Cricetulus griseus: one gene and its partners. The main gene of each other region encodes a partner of the protein of the gene in region 3 in a complex. Links are inferred from orthologs where the notes say so. Each region holds a gene or a part of one and is shown on either strand. Other genes may lie near its edges.

Region 1 (4,128 bases), on a different chromosome or scaffold from region 3:
CCCTTGTCTCTCTCCTTAGGATGTTCTGGAATCGAAGAATACCACCATCAAGGACTTACAGTATGAGCTGGCCCGGGTCTGCAAGGTATGTATGGCTCATCCCCATCCCCAGAGCCCCACCTTCTCCCTCAGGGCTGTCTCCTCCATAGAACTGTGCTCCTGTACCCAGCTTCAGCTTGTGAACATTCTAGATGAAGGAAGGGTCCCTGAGGCCCTCTCTCATTTCTTCTGCATGTTTCATTCAGAAGGTAGGTATGGTAATCCCCTTGTGATATGTCTTCATAGCCTTAGGGCTTGAGAGTGACCTAGTCCTGGCTTTGCTTATAGGTCTGCCTGGCACACACTTAGGACTCTGTCTCCTACCATGTTCAAATTTGTCTCTCCCTCACCCTTCTTTGCTCAGCTGGCCCCTCAGGCAGGCAGTTGGAAGTGTCTCTCTGCTCTTCCACATGAATGCTCACTGCAGTAAGTCACTCTCACCCTTTCGTTACCTTTGTGAATCTAAGGTAGCTCCATACCCTTACACACTAACATGTGTACCCACTGGACCCTGGCTGCCATCTGTCCCATGCACCTGAGAGAAGCCTGGGTTCTATATCTAGGTGGTCCTTAAGTGGACTGTTCTGCCTGTGTTTGCCCACTCTCTGGTCAAGGATTTACCAAGAACAGCCACCCCACAAGTCACATCCTTACTCTGTGGAGCAGGCATTGCATCTCTGTTTGTTGTTTAGGGCTTTATTGGGACATTTATGTTATATTGTTTTATTTTTTAAAAATATTTGTTTTGCTGGACAGTGATGGTGCACACCTTTTCCCCACCACTCTGGAGGCAGAGGCAAGCAGATCTCTGAGTTCCAGGACAACCAGGGTTACACAGAGAAACCCTGTCTCAAAAAATAAAAACAAACAAACAATTAACCCTAGACATAGGTAGGCAGTATCTGTTACTGCTTCCTAGACTCCATGCTGCTCAAGCTGCCCTGGCTTCCCAGCCGTCGCTAGAGGTCAGGCTAGAGCTTTACTTATCACACCTGTCCCTCAACTGACATGGCAGAGCAAAATTAGGGATAACTGCTGTGTGTGTAGCTCTTGGGGGCTGGGGATATCTTTGGCTTTTGTCTGATCAAGGTGTCTGAACCTGGGATGTCTGGTAACCAGAGCTCAGCCTCTGAGTTCTCTCTGGAACCCATCCTTATTTACCCTTTTCTCTCTATTTCAAGGAATAGTTCTGTTCACTAAACCACAGTGGGGATAATGAACCTTTTTGTTTTTGAGACACAGTCCTACTATATAACCCTGGCTGGCTTGGAACTCACTGTGTGGACCAGGACCTGTGTGCTTCTGCCTGAGTGCAGGGATTGCAGATGTGCACTAAATCCTAGCTAGTGACCTTTTCAGGCATTTGCTGTGAGTCTCACAGGCTCCAAGCATTCTCATTTCATTGAATTCATCAACACCTATAATCCTAGCACTTAGGGGTACTGAGGCAGGAGGGACATGAATTCAAAGGCAGCATAGGCTGCAAAGTAACACCCTGTCTCAGACAAATTAGTAAAACAAATTCAAGTCTTTAAAACTGTTTAGTGAAATTTTCCCAATTAAAAAATGTGCATTTTAGCTGGGCCATGGTGTTATACCCCTTTAATCCCAGTAGTTGGGAGACAGAGACAGGTGCAGATCTCTGCGTAAGTTCCAGACAGCCAGGGCTACACAGAGAACCACTGTCTTGAAAAACAAACAATCCAGCAAAAAGTGCATTTTGGGGGTTGGAAAAGATGGCTCATTGGTTAAGAACACTGGAGTGTAGTTCCCAGCATCCACATGGATGGCTCACAGCTGCCTGTAACTTCTGCTCCAAGGCATCTGAGTTTCTCTTCTGGCCTCTTTGGGCATCTGCACAATATGTACCTTCCCATACATACACCCACATACATATATGTAATAATAATAAAAAGTACTAGACATGCTTTTTTTGAGAGCTGGGTGTGGTGGCACACCCTTTAATGTTGCCACTCAGGAGGCAGAGACAGGTGGATCTTGGTAAATTATAGGCCAGCCAGGTCCATATATCAAGTTCCAGGACATCAATGGCTATATAGGGAGACCCTGAGTAAAGAGGAAAAAAATTTGCAAGGTGTATTGGTGTATGCATGTAATATTAGTACTCACATGGCTGAAACAGCAGGGTTTTTTTTTTAATTAAAAAATTTCATACAATATATTTTGATCATGTTTCTTCCTTTTCCCCCAACACCCCCTTCCCACTCAACTTTATGCTCTTTCTCTTTCAAAAACAAAAACAATAAAACCCATAAAAATGGAAAAACCTAAGACAGACAAATGCCAAAACAAAACAAATATGACAAAAAGTACACACACACACACACACACACACACACACACACACACACACACTCACAAAAAATGGAGTTTGTTTTGTGTTGGTCAACTACTCCTGGTCAAGGGACGTCCTAGAATATGGTTGTCTTGTCCAGTGGCACTGCATGGAGAAAACTAACTTTCCTTTGAAGCAGTGAGATTTTGAGTGCTAGGCTGTTCTGGGAGAAATAACAAATTCTAGCCAACCTGGACTATATAGTGGGGCCTTTTCCAAGACAAAAATGAAAACAAAACTCCAAAAAACAACAGAAGATTAGCAGAAAAACCCCACCCCACAAGGAAGGCGGGTGGGGTGGGGGGTGGTGGTGGTGGTGGTGGGGTGGGGGGTGTTGGTGTTGTTGACTCCAACAGCACTATTTCTGAGGTCCAATGCCCTCCAATTGTATCCTCTGCAGAGAGAGACACTGGGGTGAATCTCCAGAGGTAGGGAGTAGATGCCATTCTACTTTGACAGGGAAGGGATAGAGACCTTTACTGGGAAGTACTTGCTAAAGAGCCAGGAGTCCACCCAAGTCTCAGTTCTTCTGAGTTGGTCCTTATTGTGAGTGATTTGAGTTCATGACATAAAGGCATCAGCACTGCTGTAGCACAGAACAAACCATTGACCAATGCTTGGCCCAGATCTCCTACCCCTCCCCTCCATGGGATGGAGCCTACCTCTGAGTGGGCCATAGCATGTTGACTATGGTTCCCAGGCTGGAGTGAATTCCTTTTCTCCCTGACATTGCTCTGTCCTTTCAGGCCCACAATGACCTGTTGCGTACATATGAGGCGAAGTTATTGGCCTTCGGGATCCCCCTGGACAATGTGGGATTCAAGCCCCTGGAGACAGCAGTGATTGGACAGACACTGGGACAGGGCCCTGCAGGACTTGTGGGTGCCCCTACATAGCCACCTTCTGGGGCTTTTGCCTTTAGACTGCGTGCCTCACTTTGCAAGTGATACCCGTTCTACTCCAAGAACATCAGGTTTTTGTTTTGTACACTTCATCAGCAATGAACGTTGTCCACACTTCCTTTGCATTCTGTCTTTGTTGGGAAGAAGTACCTGCAAGGCTTCTGCTAAGGTCTCTTTGTCTACTTGATTCCATGTACTGCCCAGTTTGTGTCACACTTGCCCCTTTGAGTCCTGCCTCCAACCTCTGCAGTCCTTTCTCTGAGTGTACCTCTGAGTACTAACCTTCCAGCAAGATGGTACCTCATTGTCCTTTGTTTAGCATGAAGCCCATGTTCTTGATTTGGCTGGGCAGAGCAAGAGAAGACTGGCAGGCTTCCTCCTTTGGGCCAGGCTCTGTACAACCTCCCCTGGTAGGTGGTATAGAACCATGGGTTCAATAGCAGAGACTTGTGAAATTTATAAGACTCTGTCCTAGTTTTGTTTTCTGTTGCTGTGATAAACACTGTGACCAAAAGCAACTTGGAGGAAGAAATGGTTTATTTCAGCTTAGAACTTTCAGGTCACACTATCACTGAGGAAGGCAGGGAAGAAACCTGGAGGCAAGAACCCAAGCAGAGACCATGGGGGCATGCTGCTTACTGGCTTCCTCTCCATGGCTTTTCTTATACAACTCAGGGAGCACTTTGCCCAGAGGTGGCACTGCCCACAGTGGGCTGGGCCCTCCAACGTCAATCATTAATCAAGAAAATGGTTCAACAACTTGACAACAAGCCACCTCATGGTGGCATCTCCTCAGTTAAGATTTCCTTATCCAGATGTGACGCTAGCCTG
Region 2 (4,889 bases), on a different chromosome or scaffold from region 3:
CATGGTGCTTATCGATTTTACAGAACCTCTTAATATAGTTACTGATTCTCAATATGCAGAGTCATGTTACACATTGAGACTACAGAATTAGTTCCTGATAATACAGAATTAACCTCATTGTTTTTACAATTACAGGAAACTATCAGAAACAGAAGTGATCCTATATATGTTACACATATCAGATCCCATACGGGTCTGCCAGGCCCACTAGCACAAGGCGATGAGATTGATCGTTTATTAATTGGAAGTGTGCTAGAAGCCTCAGAATTTCATAAGAAACATCATGTAAATAGCAAAGGTTTGAAAAAGGACTTCTCCATCACTTGGCAACAAGCCAAGGAGATAGTGAGAAACTGTCCTACTTGTTCCTTTTATAACCAAACTCCATTGCCAGCAGGTTGTAATCCTAAGGGCATTCGGAGAAATGAGGTTTGGCAGATGGATGTCTTTCACTTTGCAGAATTTGGAAATTTGAAATATGTGTATCATACTATAGACACGTTCTCAGGGTTCCAATGGGCTACTGCTCTTAACTCTGAAAAAGCTGATTCTGTTATTACACACCTGCTAGAGGTGATGGCAATTATGGATATACCTGCACAAATAAAAATTGACAATGCTCTAGCATATGTCTCCACAAAATTGGAACAGTTTTTCAAATATTATAACAAAAAGCATGTTACTGGTATACCACACAATCCTACGGGACAAGCAGCTGTTGATAGATCTAATAGAACACTTAAGGAGATGCTCAACAAACAAACTTGGAAGACTAAACCCCCCAAACATAGGTTGCATAATGCTTTATTAACACTAAACTTTCTTAATGCCAATGAGAAAGAACAAACAGCTGCAGAAAGACACTGGACTATGGAGAAAACTGCTGAACTGAATCAGCCGATATACTTCAAAGATGTATTAACCTCTGTATGGAAACCAGGACATGTGTTACAGTGGGGTAGGGGTTTTGCATTGGTTTCCACAGGACAAGAAAAACTTTGGATACCATCAAAGTTGATCAAGATTCGAGTTGAAAAGGAAAAACCTCTTGATGAGGAGAAATGACAGGTATTCTACTAAGGTATATCTTATAAATTAAATAGAAACCTCCCAAAGGAAAGGGAAGTGTTTTGCTTTTATCTTCACAGGAAAACTCATCTCCTGAAGGCAAAGGACACTGCATGGGTAGATGCTTAAGAAGAGAAGGTAGCTATAACCATCAAACAAAAGGAACGTGCCATACGGCAAACTTTACAGCTATCTCTCAGAGAACTCGATTTCTCTTTTTCTAGCCCCTATTCAATTAAACCAACGCTGGATTTAGAGGTGGATTTGGCTTTCCTCCTCTAAAATCCAAGCACGTTGTTTAACTAAACTTTAGATTTTCTGTATAGTATCAAGAAGCCAATTGATGTAATACAGAATGATAGAAGAATTTGGGGACTGTCTTTGTCTTTTCTTGGCTCTCTTTCTCAAGGTGTACACCCTCTCATAATCGTTATTCTCCCATGGTTGCCTTTCCTAGTATGTGTACATACACAAGCAACATTTCTCTGCTGTTTATGTTTGAGTCCCACACAGCCAATGAAGACCTGCCTGACAGCAATCCCTCGACACCCTGGAAAGAAAATGGGCCACACCTCCTCAACTGCACTGCATCCAACTTGCTCCATTTCACCTGACACTCCGGCCAAAGCTTTGGGTACTGACTTCAATCAAGTTGAGGATTTCAAGCATGGACTGGATACAATCCATTCAAGACTTTTACTATACTAACATTTTCTTCCTACAGGACCCCATAAGGATGTCGTCATCCCATTTCAGCAGGAAGTAACTTGGAGAATACTACGTCCCCTTTCCCCCATTGTTGTCACTTAAGATAGTGTATATACCTAGTTAGGGATAGTTTCCTATTGTTTATGGTTGGGATTGGAAGGAGGTGTTCGGGCTTGGACACCTCTTTCAGATGACTTTAGGGTTTAGTTAACATAGATAGTTAGGATGTGACATAAGCAGATTGTTGTATCTTCTTATATTTCACCTTTATGATTGTTAATTTTGGATACTTAACACTGTTAAGTTTTACTCCTCTTTTAGACTAAAAGGGGAATTGTAGGGGAAGCTGCCCACTTAGGGGTGTGCCTAACCACGCCTTTGAGGGCGTGGTCAGGGTGATGTAGAGTTCCAGGTTGGGGTTTTGCTTTTGGTTTCACTTTTCGGCTTGCTCTACAGACTGCTGCCATGCAATTTGGCTAGGTCGCTCTGTAAGTAAGGCTTTTCCCTATTAAATATTTCTACTTGGCTCCATACTGGTAATTTCCCACTTTGTCTGTCTGTCTGTCTGTCTGTCTGTCTGTCTCGCTCTGTCTCTGCTCTCTCTCTCTGTCTCTCTGTCTTTCTGTCTCTCTCTGTCTTTCTGTCTCTGTCTCTCTGTCTCTCTGTCTCTGTCTCTCTGTCTCTGTCTCTCTCTCTGTCCATTGGCTGACCCTCACTAGTTGACACTTGCTCTTTCTCCCTGCAGGATGTCACTTCTTCCTTCCTCACACCATCCAGGCTGGCGCCACCATCAATCACCCCGGTCTCCTCGCACCTGCCCCGGGGCCCCTCCCTGCGCCCGCCTTCGGCTTGGCTCCAGTAGGTACCTCACAGATCTGAGGGATGTAGTTGTCCCTGAAGTAGTTCCTCAGTTTGGGGGAGGCACCGCGTAACGAAGCCATGGCCGGAGACCGGACAGAGAAACCGCGGTCTGCCCAATCTGGAAACCTGCGCTTCCAAGGCCAGCCGCGTCGGGGCGTTGCGTGGCAACCACGGAACCAGCCAGGCACAGTCCCCGCCAGCCTGGAGATGGAAATAGAGCCCGAGGGGAGGGGCGGGGCGGAGCATGAAGTGGGCGTGGCCTGGAGCCTGGCAGGTTGGTCCCCACCACCTGGAGACTGAAACTAAAGACTGAGGGGAGGGGGCGGGGCGGAGTGAGAGAGGGCGGGGCAGAATGTAAAGGGGAGGGGCATGCAGCTGGGCGGGGCGGTCCGGGTCAGCCTGGAAATGGAAACTAGAGCCTGAGGGCAGGGGGCGGGGCGGAGTGAGGAGGGCGGGCAGAGTACAAAGGGGCGGCGCGGGGGTGGGGCGAGCTAGAGGAGAACTCAGAGGGGCGGGGCGGGGCGGGGCGGGGCGGGGTGGGGCGGGCGGCCACGAGTGCGGCGGCTCCAGCCAGCCCATCCCGCCGCCCTCCTGGTGATGCAGCGCGCGGGTAGAGGGGCTTCCGACGCTCGCAGGGCGGCTTCCGGAAGGCGGAGCTTCAGCCGCACTTCCTGTCTGCGGTGCTGCTGCCGCTACGTGCGGTGCTGAATCCGCTCCGTGCGACTCGGAGGCAGCGGCGGCATGGGCGGCGCGCGGGACGCGGGCTGGGTGGCGGCAGGGCTGGTCCTGGGCGCCGGCGCCTGCTACTGCATCTACCGGCTGACTCGGGGCCCGCGGCCAGGCGGGCGCAAACTGCGCCCCTCGCGGTCCGCAGGTGAGGCGCTGGGCCGCTCGGCAGGTGCACAGGTTCGGGGCTCGGGACCCCCGCGCTGGGCTGGGCTGGGCTGGGCTGGCCGGGCGGGGCCGGGGGCGCCCTCGGCAGTCACGGCCACTGCCTGTGGTCGCAGGGAGACTGGGTCTGGGTGAGGGGACGTGGGGCGGGCCGGCGGAGCGCTGGAGGTAGACGGTCCTGAGCCCTCCCTGCCCCCCCCCCACCTACTCCTTTGTTTAAGACGAGGGCTGCAAGAAAACATCGCTTCGCAACCGAGAACTAGGGTTTCTCCAAACCGTGTAGATTGCCTGTCGCTGTAAAACCTGTCCCGGGCCTTTGTGTCACCAAAGAGATGCCCCTGACTGCGAGAGGGTTACTGCGGCCTTCAAGCCCAGGCTGAAACTTTGCACGTAGCCGTGTGAAGAAGGGCTCCCTGAGGTGCAATTCTGCCAACACTTATGGGACCTGTCCTGGGGTCCAGCCGTAGCATCCTGCAACTCGGGGTGTATGCAGGAAAAAGACGCTCAGCCGACACGGGTTACAACCTTTGGACAAACAGGGCTTGTAGGTTCAGTCCTGTGGTGGTAAGAGAGGTCCAACAGTTTGCTGCATATGCTAAAGGGATCGTTTAGGTCGTGAAAACTGTTGGGGAAATATTTGAAATAAAGTCTGCCAACTAAAAACCTGCCTTCCTCAGAGGTAGAGAAACTTTTTTGTTTTGTTTTTCTAAGTAATTATTAAAACATTTTCCTGACACCATTACATGTAATCTTCTAATGGCATTCCAAAGACAGAATTCTCACCTTTGTGTAGCTGAGCATATGCAAAATAGTTTGTCCCTAAAATAAGAGGACTTGACAATACCATTTTATACACATAATTCATCTCAGCTTGACTGAGAGTCATTGGTGGGAACTAATTGCCTTTCCCTAAGGGGAAAATAGGGCACCTTTATCTATCAGCAGGTAGAAAAACATACTTGCTGGTCACTGGCTATGCAAACCTTTAATCCCAGAGGGAGGCAGAGGCAGGCAGATCTCTGTGAATTCGAGGCCAGCCTGGTCTACAGAGAGAATTCCAGGACAGCCAGGCTACACACAGAAACACTGTCTGGAAAAACGAGAAATAAAATGAAAAAACAAACAAAAAACCTTGGGTTGTACAACTGGCATTTACTTTTCAAATTTTACACTTACATGAAGGGACCAGGACCAACAGAAGGCTAATTTATATTCAGCCTTCTGTTTCCTCCAGGAAATGCTATAAGAAAGGGGGGTGTGCAAGGCCTTTCCCTCTTGTCAGGAGGAAAACAGTTTCTGAAGATGAACATTTGCCCTTAGAAAGACTGGATTATTGTCTCTTTCTCTGCCAAATATTTCTA
Region 3 (2,900 bases):
TGGTGGGAGGGTTAATGAGACACCATTACTGAATGTGTCTGAACCCCCAACTAGATCTGTATGGATAGAGTCCTGTATGGCCCCACCCACTTGCTGGTGGCACCTGGCCCTGATCTGAGCAGGCCTGGAGAGCTGAGGGTTCATGCCAGACAGTTTAAAGCCAAGCCTGGTCAAAGAAAGGCAAGCAGGGTCCCTCTCACACTGACCACAGTGCCTTCTGGGTACAGGAGATGCATGACTGGTGCCTGTTTCATGGGTCCCAGGGGAGGCTGTGTAGCTGGGGACATGGCTGGGGTGGCTGAGCATCTGCCTAGTGTGCACAGGGCCCAGTACTACAAAACAAATGCAACAGAGTCCACTGAGAGCCACAGGATCCTTGCTGGCAGGGACCCTGTCCACCCAGTCCTTGTCCCCGAAGTGCTCTGCCTCAGTGATACTCGTAGATGCTGGTGGAAAAAAGGGGGTGGGGGAGAGACAGAGACAGAGAGAGAGACAGACAGAGACAGAGACAGAGAGAGACACAGAGAGGGGGAGGCTGGTGAACTGCAGCAAGAGGGGCCAGAGACAGAAGTGGGAGAGGACCCTGGGGTCACCCAAGACAGAGCTTGCTGCTTTGGGCCTCTGTGAAGCTGCCTCACCGGAGGCAGCTCTCCTTCCCCGAGGCCACACTGGGTCCTGGTACAGTGGCATCACATCCTCGGGGGCCAACTCTCACTATGATAAAACACTTGAGAAAGGGAAGAAAGTTTTGTATGAGCTCAGAGTCCTGGAGTCCTCAGAGTCCTCAGAGTCCAATCCATGGTCACTTGACCCCTCTGCCTTGAGCCTGAGGTGGGAATGTCTCAGAGAGGGCAGCAGAAATGTTCACTCTGAATAAACAAGGAGGGAGGAGAAAAGGGTTGAACAGAGGGGAGGAGGGAGTGGATGAGAGAGACACAGATCAAAGAGAAGATACCTTTCAAGGGTCCACCCCCCAGTGAACTACTTCCTCCCGGAAGGCTTCCTCCTCCCTGTTCAGCACTGAATCCATCAACTGGTTAACCCACTGACAAGACTGGCGCTTTCATGATTCAGTTGCCACTCAACAGCGCCACCTAGCTGGGGGGACCAGGCCTCCAGCCATGTGTCTGTGAGGGGGCTTTCATACTTAATCCCAGAAACTCTCCCTGGTATTTGGAGTATTTGGAATTGTCTGGAGAACCAGAAGCTTTAAAGGGAATCTCCTAAAGGTGCAGAGAAGCTAGACTTCAAAGCTACGGTCAGCGGCTGGGGGACCACCTCAGTTAGTAGGATGCTTGCTATGCAAACACTAGGACCTGAGTTTGCATCCCCAGCACCCATGTAAGAAGCTGAAAACTGCAGTGTGCAGTTGTAATCACAGTGTCGGGAGGCAGATCCTGGGAGTTTGCCAGCCCAGTGATACCTGCAAGCTCTAGGTTCAGTGAAAGATTCTGCCTCAAAAAGTAAGGTGGAAAGATTGAGGAGGAAGCCTAACGTTGTATACACACACACACACACACACACACACACACACACACACACACAGGAGGAAGCCTAACGTTGTATACACACACACACACACACACACACACACACACACACACACACACACACCTAGGCTTGCACATCTCTCAGCCCTTGTTCCTCCCTTCATTCCTGAGATCTGTTCAGTTGGGTCCTTCCTGGAGTGAGCCCAGGTGCAGACAGACAGGCTCTATCTGCATACTACCTGTCTGGGGCGCATGGAGAGCACGGAGGCCATCCTTGTGCCCTCCAGCCCTGCCTCTCTTCTAGGAAGAATACGAAGATCTGGAGAGCATCCACAAGGAAGAGAAGCTGCAGCTGGAGGAGCTAAAGGAGAGGCATGCGGTGCTGGTGGAGGAGTTTTCCCAGATCCGTGCTGAGAGCGAGATCAACTCCAAGAAGCGGGTGGAGGCGGAGCGCGAGATGGTGCGCATGGTGCGGGCGGCCACGCTCATCCAGGCGGTGTGGAAGGGCTACCTGGTGCGCTCCATGCTCAGATCCAAGAAGAAGAAGCGGGGCAAAGGCAAGGGGAAGGGCAAAGAGGAGAAGGGTAAGGAGAAGAAAGGCAAGGGCAAGGGCAAAGGCAAGAAGAAGTAACTGCTGCCTGGCCCTGCTCCTGCCCAGCCTCAACCACGCCCTGCCCAGTCTGAATGGTACTCCCACCCTGCCCCAGCCCTTCCATCCTGACTTTAATGATGGCCAAAATTAAAACAAAACAAAACATTTAAACCATACTCAAGGGCTCACCCTTCAACAGACGTGTCTACCCCAGGATGAGGCTGTGTTGCTCATGGGCGCAGCATCCTGAGGAGGGTACAAGCTTTGGGACCCCCATCCTCCCACATCTTCATTGAGAAATGAGGCCCTGGTCCCAACCCAAGAGATACTGTGGTTACCATGGAGAGACATCATCACTGGGCAGCCCTGGCCTGCCCTGGGACTGCCCACCCACCCACAGCTCTGCCCCTTTGCTATGAACCTTCTGGAGGGCAGCAGCGTTTTTGGTTTGGTGTTTAGATTGCATGATTTTTTGAAAAGTATTAGTTGCTAGAATCTCATAAATTAAGAACCATCCATAGAATCCTAAAGCCCTTATTGTGAAGATCCCATCACCCTGATATCCCAGTATCCCGGCCCTGTGTCTTCTTCCATGGTGCAGCAGCATCCCACCCTGCAACTTTATTTTGAGACATAGTATTCCTCTGTAGCCCCAGCTGGTGATCCACCTGCCTCTTGATTTCTAAATGCTGAATTTACAGGCATGGGCCACCTCTTTGGCTTCCTCCACTTCAAAACAAAACAACAAAACTAAAGAAACAAAGGATGGTCAAGGGGGATGGTGGGGGCGGTGGTGGTGCACGCTATGTGGGAGGCTG
Region 4 (4,724 bases), about 56 Mb from region 3:
CTCCTCGTACAAAGGAAAGGGCAGGAACTCCCATGTATTCTAGGGCAGGAAGAGGAGATTCTGAAGGAAGAATAAATAAAAACATGGTGGAAAGTGAGAAGAAAGATGTCCTCTATATCTGGGAAGTGTGCACAAGGCTCACCAGCCCCAAGTTCCATGGGTTGTAAGCACCATAGAGGCAAGTCTGACTCCTCTCTTCCCTCTACAAAATGTACAGAGTGATGGCTGGAGACATGGTCCAGCAGTTAAGAGCAAGCACTGCTCATGCAGAGACCCCGACTTTGGTTCCTAGCACCAACCATACTGATGGACTGCCCACAGCAGCCTGTAAGGCCAACTCTAGGTGCTCCAATGCTCTCTTCCAGCCTCTTTGGGTACTGCACTCACATGCACAAACCCACACACATATAGCGAAATGAAAAATTAAAATTAAAAATCTTTTCTAAGATCTCTAAAGTGCCATGGGGTTAAATAAACACTCATTGACCTTCTGCTTCTTCTTCACAGGTGAGAGATCTTCCTCCCACGTCTTATACCTGTTTCTGCAGATTTGCTTCTGATAATATGCAGTTGACCAAAATTCTGGAATAGACAGAAGTGCCCAAAAAGAGTCTGTAGATCCCATAATCCACAGGGAAGAAGGAAGGCTTACTGTTCCATTCTATGTATGATGCCATTGTGATGCCCAGTAATGGCCCGGTTCCAGGATGGAGCCCTCCCAGATGGAGGGGGCAATAGCAAGCTACCCCATCACACTCTCTACCCACAATCAATTTTTTAAATCATATGCAAGATGCTAGAAGGCATCCCCCAAAGAGAATCTCCCCCATATTGTGCAAGAAATACTAAACTGCAAAATTTAGGAGACTCTGGTCAAAGCAAGTCCACTAGAGGGAGCACTAACCAACTCTATGCTGCAGAGAGCTTGGGGGCTTCTAAACACCCTGTCTGCAGAGTAACCTCACAGAGAAATAGGGAGAGTGAGACAATTGTTGAGCGGGAGAGAAAGAAGTCCTAGAAACACACCACTGAGTATATATATATATATTATATATATATATATATAATATATATATATATATATATCCTTATTTTACATAGCAATCTCGGTCCTGTCTTCCCATGCCCACCCACCCCCATCCCATTCCCACTGCCGTCCACTCCCCAGGGAGGGTAAAGCCTTCCCAGGGGGATCATCAAAGTCTGTCACATCATTTGGGGCAAGGCCTAGGCCCTCCCCCATGTATCTAGGCTGAGAGAGTATCCCTCCATAGGGAATGGGCTCCCAAAGTCTGTGCACTAGGATAAATACCGGTTCCACTGCCAGAGGCCCCATAGACTGCCCTGGCCTCCCAACTGACACCTATCTTCAGGGGGCCTGGTTGGGTCCTATGCTGGTTCCCCAGATGTCAGACTGGGGTCCGTGTGTTCCCACTTGCTCAGGTCAGCTGTTTCTGTGAGTTTCCCCAGCATGGTCTTGACCCCTTTGCTCATCCCTCCTCCCTCTCTACAACTGGACTCCAGGAGGGAACTACAAAACTTATACACCAAGAAATCCAAGCTGAGCAAAATTAAGTAGCTCAGTTCGCAACTCTGCCTAATTTGTGGCCTCCTTTCTGGGTCAGCATCCCCAAGTCCACAGCTCTTCTCTGTTCTCATTTCTCTTAAGTGGAAAACTCTCAACTACCTGTGCCAGCACGTGTTTCCTGCACAAGCCACAGATAGCATTTCTGAAGTAGACCTCAAGTTCTAAAGCAAATCATGTCACTGTGTTCATGAGACCTCGGGATATAAAGTACCTGCAATGGCTACTTTCCCTGCCTTTCTTCTCCATCTGTAAAGCACTAGCCTCTCACACTGGATGCTTCTAGATTTCTAGACTGCAAAGTCTCCAGATGATAGGCAGTGCCTGTGTAGACATGAATAATAGCTATTCAGCTCCAAGACCTTTTCTTTGCGGGTAGGAGGGGAATCTACCTACACAGGACCTTTGTGTGAGTCAATTTAGCCCATTCTACCTGCCTATGAACACAGTGTTTCCCGGTTGCCTGGGCAGCAGGCAGTCTCCAGAAACCCAACATCCCAGTTCTTGGTCCTGCCTCTTGGGGAAGTTTTTCAGCCTGGATTGGCTCCCAGGACCCAGGCTCCTTCCTCCCTAGGCTCAATCTGCTTGGGACTCTATCTTTCCCAAGGAGTGTTATTCCCCAGGGAGACAGCACTCAAGCAAGAGAAGGTCCTCCAGGTAGGAAGGGGAAGAATAAGCATGTTGGGGAGACAGAAGGGACCAGGTCCAGAGATTTATCTTCTCTAAAAGGGCTGTCTGCTGCCCATAGAATTGCTCTACCTCCCAGCCTTGCCTGGGGTTCCCAGGAGACCAAGAACCAAAGCTTCTAGAAAGTGTAAGATACACTGGAAGACTAGAATTCTGACTGCCCCAAGACCCCTACCTCTAGGAGTCAGGAGAGCATTTCTGTATGCAGACCTACACAGAAGGTCTTCCCTCCCCCAGGGCAGCAAGGATGCCACCTAAAACCAAAGGAAAGGGGAGAAAAACTGGGGCACAGAAGAAGAAAAAAAAATCAAGTCCTGGTGAGTCACAGGGCGTGTCTGTGACACAAAGGTCCTCGGAGGGAATCCAGCCCTCTGGGCAACAAATGGAGTGGGTTTGTTTTGGTTTTGTCTTTTGTTCTTTTGACACAGGGTCACTATGGGACCCAGGCTGCCCCAGTCTTCATAGTGACAGGATTACAGGCGTTGCTACCACACTTGGCTAGGGTGAAGCTTCCTGGCCCTCCTCTGCAGATCCTTGCGTCCAGATTCCATGGGGCTGAGGAAGTGGAGAATGCCTCCTTCCCAAATTCCCCCTGGAGCCCCATCTAGTTCTTTGCCCTCATCATATTTTTCACCCTTATTTTGAGCACCCACCGTGCACATGGTGGGTGAAGACTCTGCCACTCAGCCGTAAATTTGTCAGATTTGCCATTGGGCCTCCCTCATCCAGCTATCTTCCTCCATCACGAAGGAAGAAGTGCAGGTGCAGAGCAGCACTGGGGTGAGGCCGAGAGAAGGATAACCTGAGACTATTGTCTTGCCAGAACAGATGCAGAGGCTGAGGCCAAGCATAGGATGGTCCTGCTGGAGAAGGAGCTGCTTCAGGACCACTTGGGTAAGAAGTTTGAAGCCTCAGGAGATGGCAGAGATAGAAGTCCTAGTTAGGGTCATCGTTGCTGTGATGAAACACCATGACCAAATCAACTTGGGGAGGAAAGGGTTTATTTGGCTTAAGCTTCCAAATCACTGTTTATTATTGAAGAAAGTCAGGATAGGAATCCGAGTAGGGCAGGATCCTGGAGGCAGGAGCTGATACAGAGGTCATGAAGGGTTGCTGCTTACTGCCTTGCTTCACATGGCTTGCTCAGCCTGCTTCCCTTTTTGTTGTTGTTGTTTTATTTTGTTTTGTTTTTCGGTTTTTCGAGACAGGGTTTCTCTGTGTAGCTTTGGAGCCTATCCTGACACTCGCTCTGGAGACCAGGCTGGCCTCGGACTCACAGAGATCCGCCTGCCTCTGCCTCCCGAGTGCTGGGATTAAGGCGTGCGCCACCAATGCCCAGCTCAGCCTGCTTTCTTATAGAACGCAGGACCACCAGCTCAGTGGTGGCACCATCCACAGTGGGTAGGCCCTCCCCATTAGTCACTAATTAAGAAAATGCCCTAAAATCTTGCCTACAGCCTGATCTTATGGAAGCATTTTCTCAGTTGAGGCTACCTCTTCTCTAATGGCTCTAGCTTATGTCAAGTTGACAATAAACTAGCCACCCAATGTATGGAACATAGGGCATTTCTGGGTTCTTGGGGAACTGGAAAGTTTGAACTGTGTGCAGGGCTAAACCAAGATAGCCATTAATCTATTTGCAAGATTGTGAGGAAGGGCTAGGCAGTGAAGATCAATGAAAGAAGCTATCTCCCACCCCTTCCCCCAGCTGGGAATAGAATCACAACTTCATTCATGATAGGTAAGTAGTCTACCATGGAGCTAACCTGCAACTTGGGGAAGCCATTGTCTTATAGTGGCCAGAACATGGAGGGATTATTGACTTAGGAATGAAAACCCTATGGGTTTTGGGGCAACTAATAAAGAGTATACGAAATTGACACCTGTCACCAAGTTCACAGAGGTGAACTTAGTTCATGGAGGCCATGGTGATTGGTTCTGTAGGACCCACAGCCAGACCTGAGCATGGCTCTTGACACTGTCCACAGCTCTCCAGAGGGATGAGACCCGCAGAGCCAAGGCTTCTGAAGAGAGGCTGAAGCAGAGGTTGCAAGGGCTAGAAGCTGAACTGGAGAAGGCCCAAAGTGAAAGGGATGCTGTCTATGCAGGTATGATTTGATTGGCCAGGTGGGCAGGAGACAAAGGCATGGAAGAGGACAACCATGAAAATTGGGGAATTCAAGGAAGGGAAATGAAGAGGAATCTAACTGCCATACCCTACCCTCTGCTGTCCCTGCATAGGCAGGGTCCTGAGAACCAAAGACAGATCCCTGGCAGAATGCAGATTACCACATTCTAGAATGTCTAATGCTGCACGCTTGATATCTGTGTGAAACACAATGTAGCCATGGCCCTTTACCTTTATTTTTGGGAGTAAGTGGCAAGAAGGGCCAGGGTCCCCACTTTTAAGCTGATGTGTGGGGTAGGGGGACGTCTGGTTTCCAATCTCCCA
Region 5 (4,835 bases), on a different chromosome or scaffold from region 3:
GATTAAAAGATCCAATAAATTGACAACTGCATGTGTTACCCATTTAAACAAACAGAACAAACCGGAAGGAAAAAAATCCAAACAAAAACGCTGAGGAAACTTCAAAGAAATGATAAAACTTAAAAGAGATTTTTTTCATATCATATTTCAAACATTCTTTCAGTACAAAAAAAAGATGAATGACTTAAAATTGACTTTGTTTTAAATTTCTAAATTCATATGCTTTTTAGCTAGAGAAAAAAATTAGGAAAAAGTAAATTACACTGTCCAAACACAAAATAAGCTACAGAGAAGCATAACTACATCAACACATACATAACCACATAGAAAGGTTTTTCCAAGCAATTTTTCCCTCCCTCCCCCCTCCCCAGACAGGGTTTCTCTGTATTGCTTTGGAGGCTTTCCTGGAACTCATTCTGTAGACCAGGATGGCCTTGAACTCACAGAGATCTGACTGCCTCTGCCTCCTACAGGCCTTTAGTCTCTGCTGGGACTAAAGGTGTGCACCACCAACGCCCATTTTAGCAATTCTTCATCTTAATTATCCACTTTACTGGACAGAGACACAGCACACCTCTCAATGTGTCTCAGGGCTTTCCCAGGGACAACTGGATCTTGAGGGCACTAACCTAATCCATTTATAGATTCAAAACTTTGAACAGAACTATAAAAGGTAAGGTCTCTTGAATGAAAAAGGATGCTGGGGTGTGTCCTGGGGGGGGGGTGTCTTATCTTGGCCCTGGCTCCTTCCTATTGCTCCTCTTGGCATGTTTTCCAGCTGTTATGTTTCTAATCTCCCTTACTGATGAGGCCATAGAGAGGGCAAAGCCAATGCCTTCCTCATCTTCTTAGTCACTTAAGTTCTGACTTCACCTAAGGCTAAAGTTAACCTGCAAGCCCCACTTGCCCAAGGACAGAACACTTCCTGGAATGCTGGGGGCTGTTGTCCTTGTAAGATAACAAGTCACATATTTTCACTTCAATAAACAAGGTTGGTTGCCCCATCTGCACAGGATGTGTTTGATCAGAGAGAGGCTGGAGATTTACCTAGGCAGGAAATAGGACAGGGTGTATGTTTGCCCCCATTGGCCAAAGGTGGAAAGTACAGTGGCCTTGTGGGTTTGGCCTTTATAGGCACCTGACTGACCTGATTTCAGCACCATTTCTCTGGGAATCCTGAATACAGACCTGGCTAGTCTCCACCTTCCTGGTCAGTATTTAATAGAGCTTGCTTCAGTTGGACAATCACAGGTTTGGTCTTCTCAAAATTCTCCAGTTTAATACTAACTTTCCATCAAACAAGCATTAAATATACAAGAACTTTAATATATATGAAATTCAGCTTTCAACAGCCACTACTTAACTTGTACAGTTGCAGACAGAACTGTTTCTTCCTCTAAATGTATTTTAAGCTGAAAAATATGCTTTGTTAACTAAAGAATCAGGAATTCATTCTCTTTCTCTCTCTCTCTCTCTCTCTCTCTCTCTCTCTCTCTCTCTCTCTCTCTCTCTCTCTCTCTCTCCCTCCTTCCCTCCCTCCCTCTCTCTAGGGCTAAAAATCAGACTGGGCATACTCCTTTAATCACATCACTGAGTTCTACAAACCAATCAGGGGCACAAGGTAAATAAAAGAATATATTTTCTTGCATTGTAAAAACTGGCAGTATATGCCAATGCTCCCCTAAGCAAGTCTTTTTTAAAAAATGTAATTTATCTCCTAATAGTTCTTTTTCCCTTTTATTTTCTTTGGGGGGGGGGTAAATAAGAATCTAATTAAATAAAAGGGAAAGCTTTTTTATGTGAAAATTTTTTTCATATATTATTTTGGTCATATTCTTTCACCTCCCTGATCCTCCCTACCCCCCTACTCAACAACTATCATATTCTTAAAAAAAAAAAAAAAAAAAAAAAGTACATGGACATTTTTCTTAAGAGTGTTCCTTTCACTTCTAAAGCAGTAACACAAAACCTTAATACCTTAATAGGGTTAAACCTGTACTACAATCCCGGCTTCTGAGATTAATTTTATCATGTATAAATCTCAATTTCCAGTTATCAATAAACAGATCTCTGGCAGTCTCACAGTTTCCCTGCTGCTTTTCTGCGGTCACCATGACGATGGACTAAACACCTCATGTAAATATTAGTTAACTACTTTGTTCCAAACTGAGAGTGGAGGAGGGTCGATATGGTGCGTTGTGAAAACTCAAAAAAACTGCAACAAAGATGGAGCGTGACCTTCCCTCCACGAATATTTGCCCTTTACTATCTTAGGGCTTGCTTTATGTATTTATTTACTGATTTATGGAGCGGTGATTTCGGTCAATTGTGGTGTAATTGCTGTTGGGTCACTGGACGCTAACCACGGACCCGATTTTAAGTCACGCTGCTGGGTTAGAAGCCAACTCAAAGGGTCTAGCAGTTCAACGCGGATCGTCGCTTTTCGGGGTCCCCGGAGGCCTCGCGGGTCACTGCAGCCGCCTCGGTCGGTCCCCAGCACGCGCGGGGAACCCGGCGGGTCCGGGCGGCCCCGACGGGTCCCCGGCTGGGTTTTCCTTTCCGTTCTTATTATAAAGCGGTTATTTGGGCATCTCTTCCTTTAAGCGAGGTTCTGGCGACACCCGGGCGAGCACGGCCCGGTGTGACCTCGAGGCCTCGCTCTGCCGCCTGGCGGAGGAGGCAACATGGAGGCGGCCGGCGCCTGGGGCCGGGCCGGGCGTGGCTACGGCGCGACCGCAGAGGCTCCCGCCCGGTTCCGGCGCCGGCTCGCGTCCGCCGTGAGGCCGGCCTCCGGGTCCCCACAGTCCCGGGCGCGGCGGGCGTGGAGGCCCCGGGAACAAGGACGCCATTATGAAGGTCCCCTGCGGCTGCCACGGCCGCAGCCCGCGCGGACCTCAGCCGGGGGATGGGAGGGCGCGGCGGGCGGGGCGGAGGGGCCGCGGGGCGGAGCCGACGGCGGGGACGCGGGCTGGCGCCGCTCCTCGGCCCCCGTCTGCCCGCCGCGCCGCGCCGCCCCGCGCCGCCGAGGGGCTCAAGATGGAGGCCCCGGCAGCGTTCCTACCTGTGCCTTCCCGTTCCTTCTCCTCCGCCATCTTGGTGCGGAGCCCGTCGCCTGGGAGATGCCCATCACAAGCCCTGCGGGGCGCGCGAGCCCGGCCTGCGGGAGGGAGCCCCTCGGCGCGCGGGGGTCCTCCCGCTTCCGCCCGGGGCCCGCTCCGCTCCCCCAGCCCAGCCCCGGGGTCTTGCGGCCTAGGGGAGTCGTTTATTAATAAAGTTCCGGAGCCCGCCTTGGCCTGTTTGTGACCGTCCTGAGAGTTCAAGCGCTGCGCGCTCCCCCTCGGGGGACGGGGCTGCCTCGTTTGTGTGCTTATTTGTTTATTTACTTATTTATTTATTTACTTATTTGCGGTTTCTGCTGCTTCGGTTTGGTTTTGTATTGTTTTTGCGCAGAGCTCGCGTGCAGAGCGCGGCTTCTCCCCGGCCCATTCACAACCGTAAGGCCGCTCGCCCGCTGCCCTCCCTCCCGCTCGCCCGCCAGCCAGGCCCGGTGCGTCCCCTGGGTCGCCCTCTAAGCGGAGCCACTGCGCAGCCCAGGGAAACTGGAGCGAAAACGGACGTGGGCCGCTGCCGGAGGAAGCCAGCAGGCCTCTCTCCGGGATCGCGAGAGAGGGCTCGCTGTAGGAAAACACGTGCAAAATAGGCGCAAAACACTGCGTCGTCAAGGCTGCAATGTCTGGTACAAAATAGTGTTCTCATAGCAACGAATAAATTGCCGGTCTGTTCTCAGTATTACACACATTGATAGGTTGATGGTGCAGTTTGGCGTGACCTTCCAGGGAGAGTTTTGAATCCTATGTTCCTGAGGAACTTGGCTGTAGTGTTTTGTTATTTTATGGGTAAGCTTGATATATTTGGATGTTTTCTTTTTAAAAAAAAAAGTATTAAAATGTCTTTAACAATGTGGCTCAGATGAATAACTAGTTTTAATCCTTAATGATATTTCAGGGCATGTGTACTCATTTAAAAATTTATTATAAAAATAACAACTAAATGTTAAGGCTTTTAAAATGCAAGATATTAGTATTTAAATTTGGGGAGGGGGAAGGGAGGTTCGAGACGGGCTTTCTCTCAGTGTGGCTTTGGAGGCTGTCCTGGAACTAGCTTTTGTAGACCAGGCTGATCTCGAACTCAACAGAGATCAGCCTGCCTCTGCTCCTGAGTGCTGGGATTAAAGGCATGCACACCGCCAGGCTGTATTTAATTTTGTGTTACTGGTTTTTCTTAACTGAACTTCTGTAAACAGAGTGCAATGAACCTTCAAAGCAGGCCAAGCAAGTGTGGGGAGAAAGAGAACCGGCCATTCCTGATTGCAGAGGATCCTAAATGTTGCCTGCTCCCTAAGTCTTTCTCCACCTCTTCCTCAGTGGTTCCATAGTTCCACAAGCTCTTGGAATGGTTTATAGTGCTTTTATTTATTTGTTTCTACCACATAAGTTTCTAGCGAATAAAGTTGTGTTATACAATGGGACATTCTGTCTGGAAATTGTCTTGTATGTCTGTGTCTATATGTGAGAAAGAGTGTATATGTGTCTGTGTGTGAGAAAGAAAGTGTGAGTATGTGTCTGTGTGTGTGAGCGTGCATCTATCTGTGTGTGTATGTAAGTGTGTGTGTGTGTGTGTGTGTGTGTGTGTGTGTGTGTGTGTGTGTGTGTGGTTTGTATCTTTGTTTTAGATGTAAGAGGAGACATTCTCTCTACGTGCCCAGGCTGTTCTTAAATTCCAGGACTCAAGCAATCCTCCTGTTTCAGCTTTGAGGAATACTTAGAACTCCAGAT

What was found.
Region 1: Iqcd (region 3) and Gas8 share a complex: the UniProt entries of both Homo sapiens proteins name them as parts of the nexin-dynein regulatory complex. The link is inferred for Cricetulus griseus from reciprocal best matches to the Homo sapiens genes DRC10 and DRC4.
Region 2: Iqcd (region 3) and Fbxl13 share a complex: the UniProt entries of both Homo sapiens proteins name them as parts of the nexin-dynein regulatory complex. The link is inferred for Cricetulus griseus from reciprocal best matches to the Homo sapiens genes DRC10 and FBXL13.
Region 4: Iqcd (region 3) and Ccdc153 share a complex: the UniProt entries of both Homo sapiens proteins name them as parts of the nexin-dynein regulatory complex. The link is inferred for Cricetulus griseus from reciprocal best matches to the Homo sapiens genes DRC10 and DRC12.
Region 5: Iqcd (region 3) and Efcab2 share a complex: the UniProt entries of both Homo sapiens proteins name them as parts of the nexin-dynein regulatory complex. The link is inferred for Cricetulus griseus from reciprocal best matches to the Homo sapiens genes DRC10 and DRC8.

The regions. Positions count from the first base shown.
Region 1 is NC_048596.1:200,187,262-200,191,389, forward strand, and holds the end of Gas8 (dynein regulatory complex subunit 4), read left to right. Parts: intron 1-19; coding exon 20-85; intron 86-3,141; coding exon 3,142-3,291; 3' UTR 3,292-3,414; downstream 3,415-4,128. UniProt on the Homo sapiens protein: Component of the nexin-dynein regulatory complex (N-DRC), a key regulator of ciliary/flagellar motility which maintains the alignment and integrity of the distal axoneme and regulates microtubule sliding in motile axonemes.
Region 2 is NW_023276806.1:172,828,980-172,833,868, reverse strand, and holds the start of Fbxl13 (dynein regulatory complex subunit 6), read right to left. Parts: upstream 2,946-4,889; 5' UTR 2,718-2,945; coding exon 2,643-2,717; intron 2,635-2,642; coding exon of another isoform or gene 2,523-2,634; exon of another isoform or gene 2,522-2,522; intron 2,265-2,521; exon of another isoform or gene 2,249-2,264; intron 1-2,248. Other genes in the region: Armc10 (armadillo repeat-containing protein 10), read left to right, coding at 3,379-3,511. UniProt on the Homo sapiens protein: Substrate-recognition component of the SCF (SKP1-CUL1-F-box protein)-type E3 ubiquitin ligase complex.
Region 3 is NC_048597.1:100,416,843-100,419,742, forward strand, and holds the end of Iqcd (dynein regulatory complex protein 10), read left to right. Parts: intron 1-1,794; coding exon 1,795-2,121; 3' UTR 2,122-2,258; downstream 2,259-2,900. UniProt on the Homo sapiens protein: Component of the nexin-dynein regulatory complex (N-DRC), a key regulator of ciliary/flagellar motility which maintains the alignment and integrity of the distal axoneme and regulates microtubule sliding in motile axonemes.
Region 4 is NC_048597.1:155,926,414-155,931,137, forward strand, and holds the start of Ccdc153 (coiled-coil domain-containing protein 153), read left to right. Parts: upstream 1-1,490; 5' UTR 1,491-2,242; intron 2,243-2,509; 5' UTR 2,510-2,519; coding exon 2,520-2,589; intron 2,590-2,615; exon of another isoform or gene 2,616-2,654; coding exon of another isoform or gene 2,655-2,659; intron 2,660-3,095; coding exon of another isoform or gene 3,096-3,100; coding exon 3,101-3,166; intron 3,167-4,260; coding exon 4,261-4,380; intron 4,381-4,724. UniProt on the Homo sapiens protein: Component of the nexin-dynein regulatory complex (N-DRC), a key regulator of ciliary/flagellar motility which maintains the alignment and integrity of the distal axoneme and regulates microtubule sliding in motile axonemes.
Region 5 is NC_048598.1:15,755,985-15,760,819, forward strand, and holds the start of Efcab2 (dynein regulatory complex protein 8), read right to left. Parts: upstream 3,093-4,835; coding exon 3,062-3,092; coding exon of another isoform or gene 2,685-3,061; exon of another isoform or gene 2,174-2,684; intron 1-2,173. Other genes in the region: protein SOGA3, read left to right, coding at 2,685-3,269. UniProt on the Homo sapiens protein: Component of the nexin-dynein regulatory complex (N-DRC), a key regulator of ciliary/flagellar motility which maintains the alignment and integrity of the distal axoneme and regulates microtubule sliding in motile axonemes.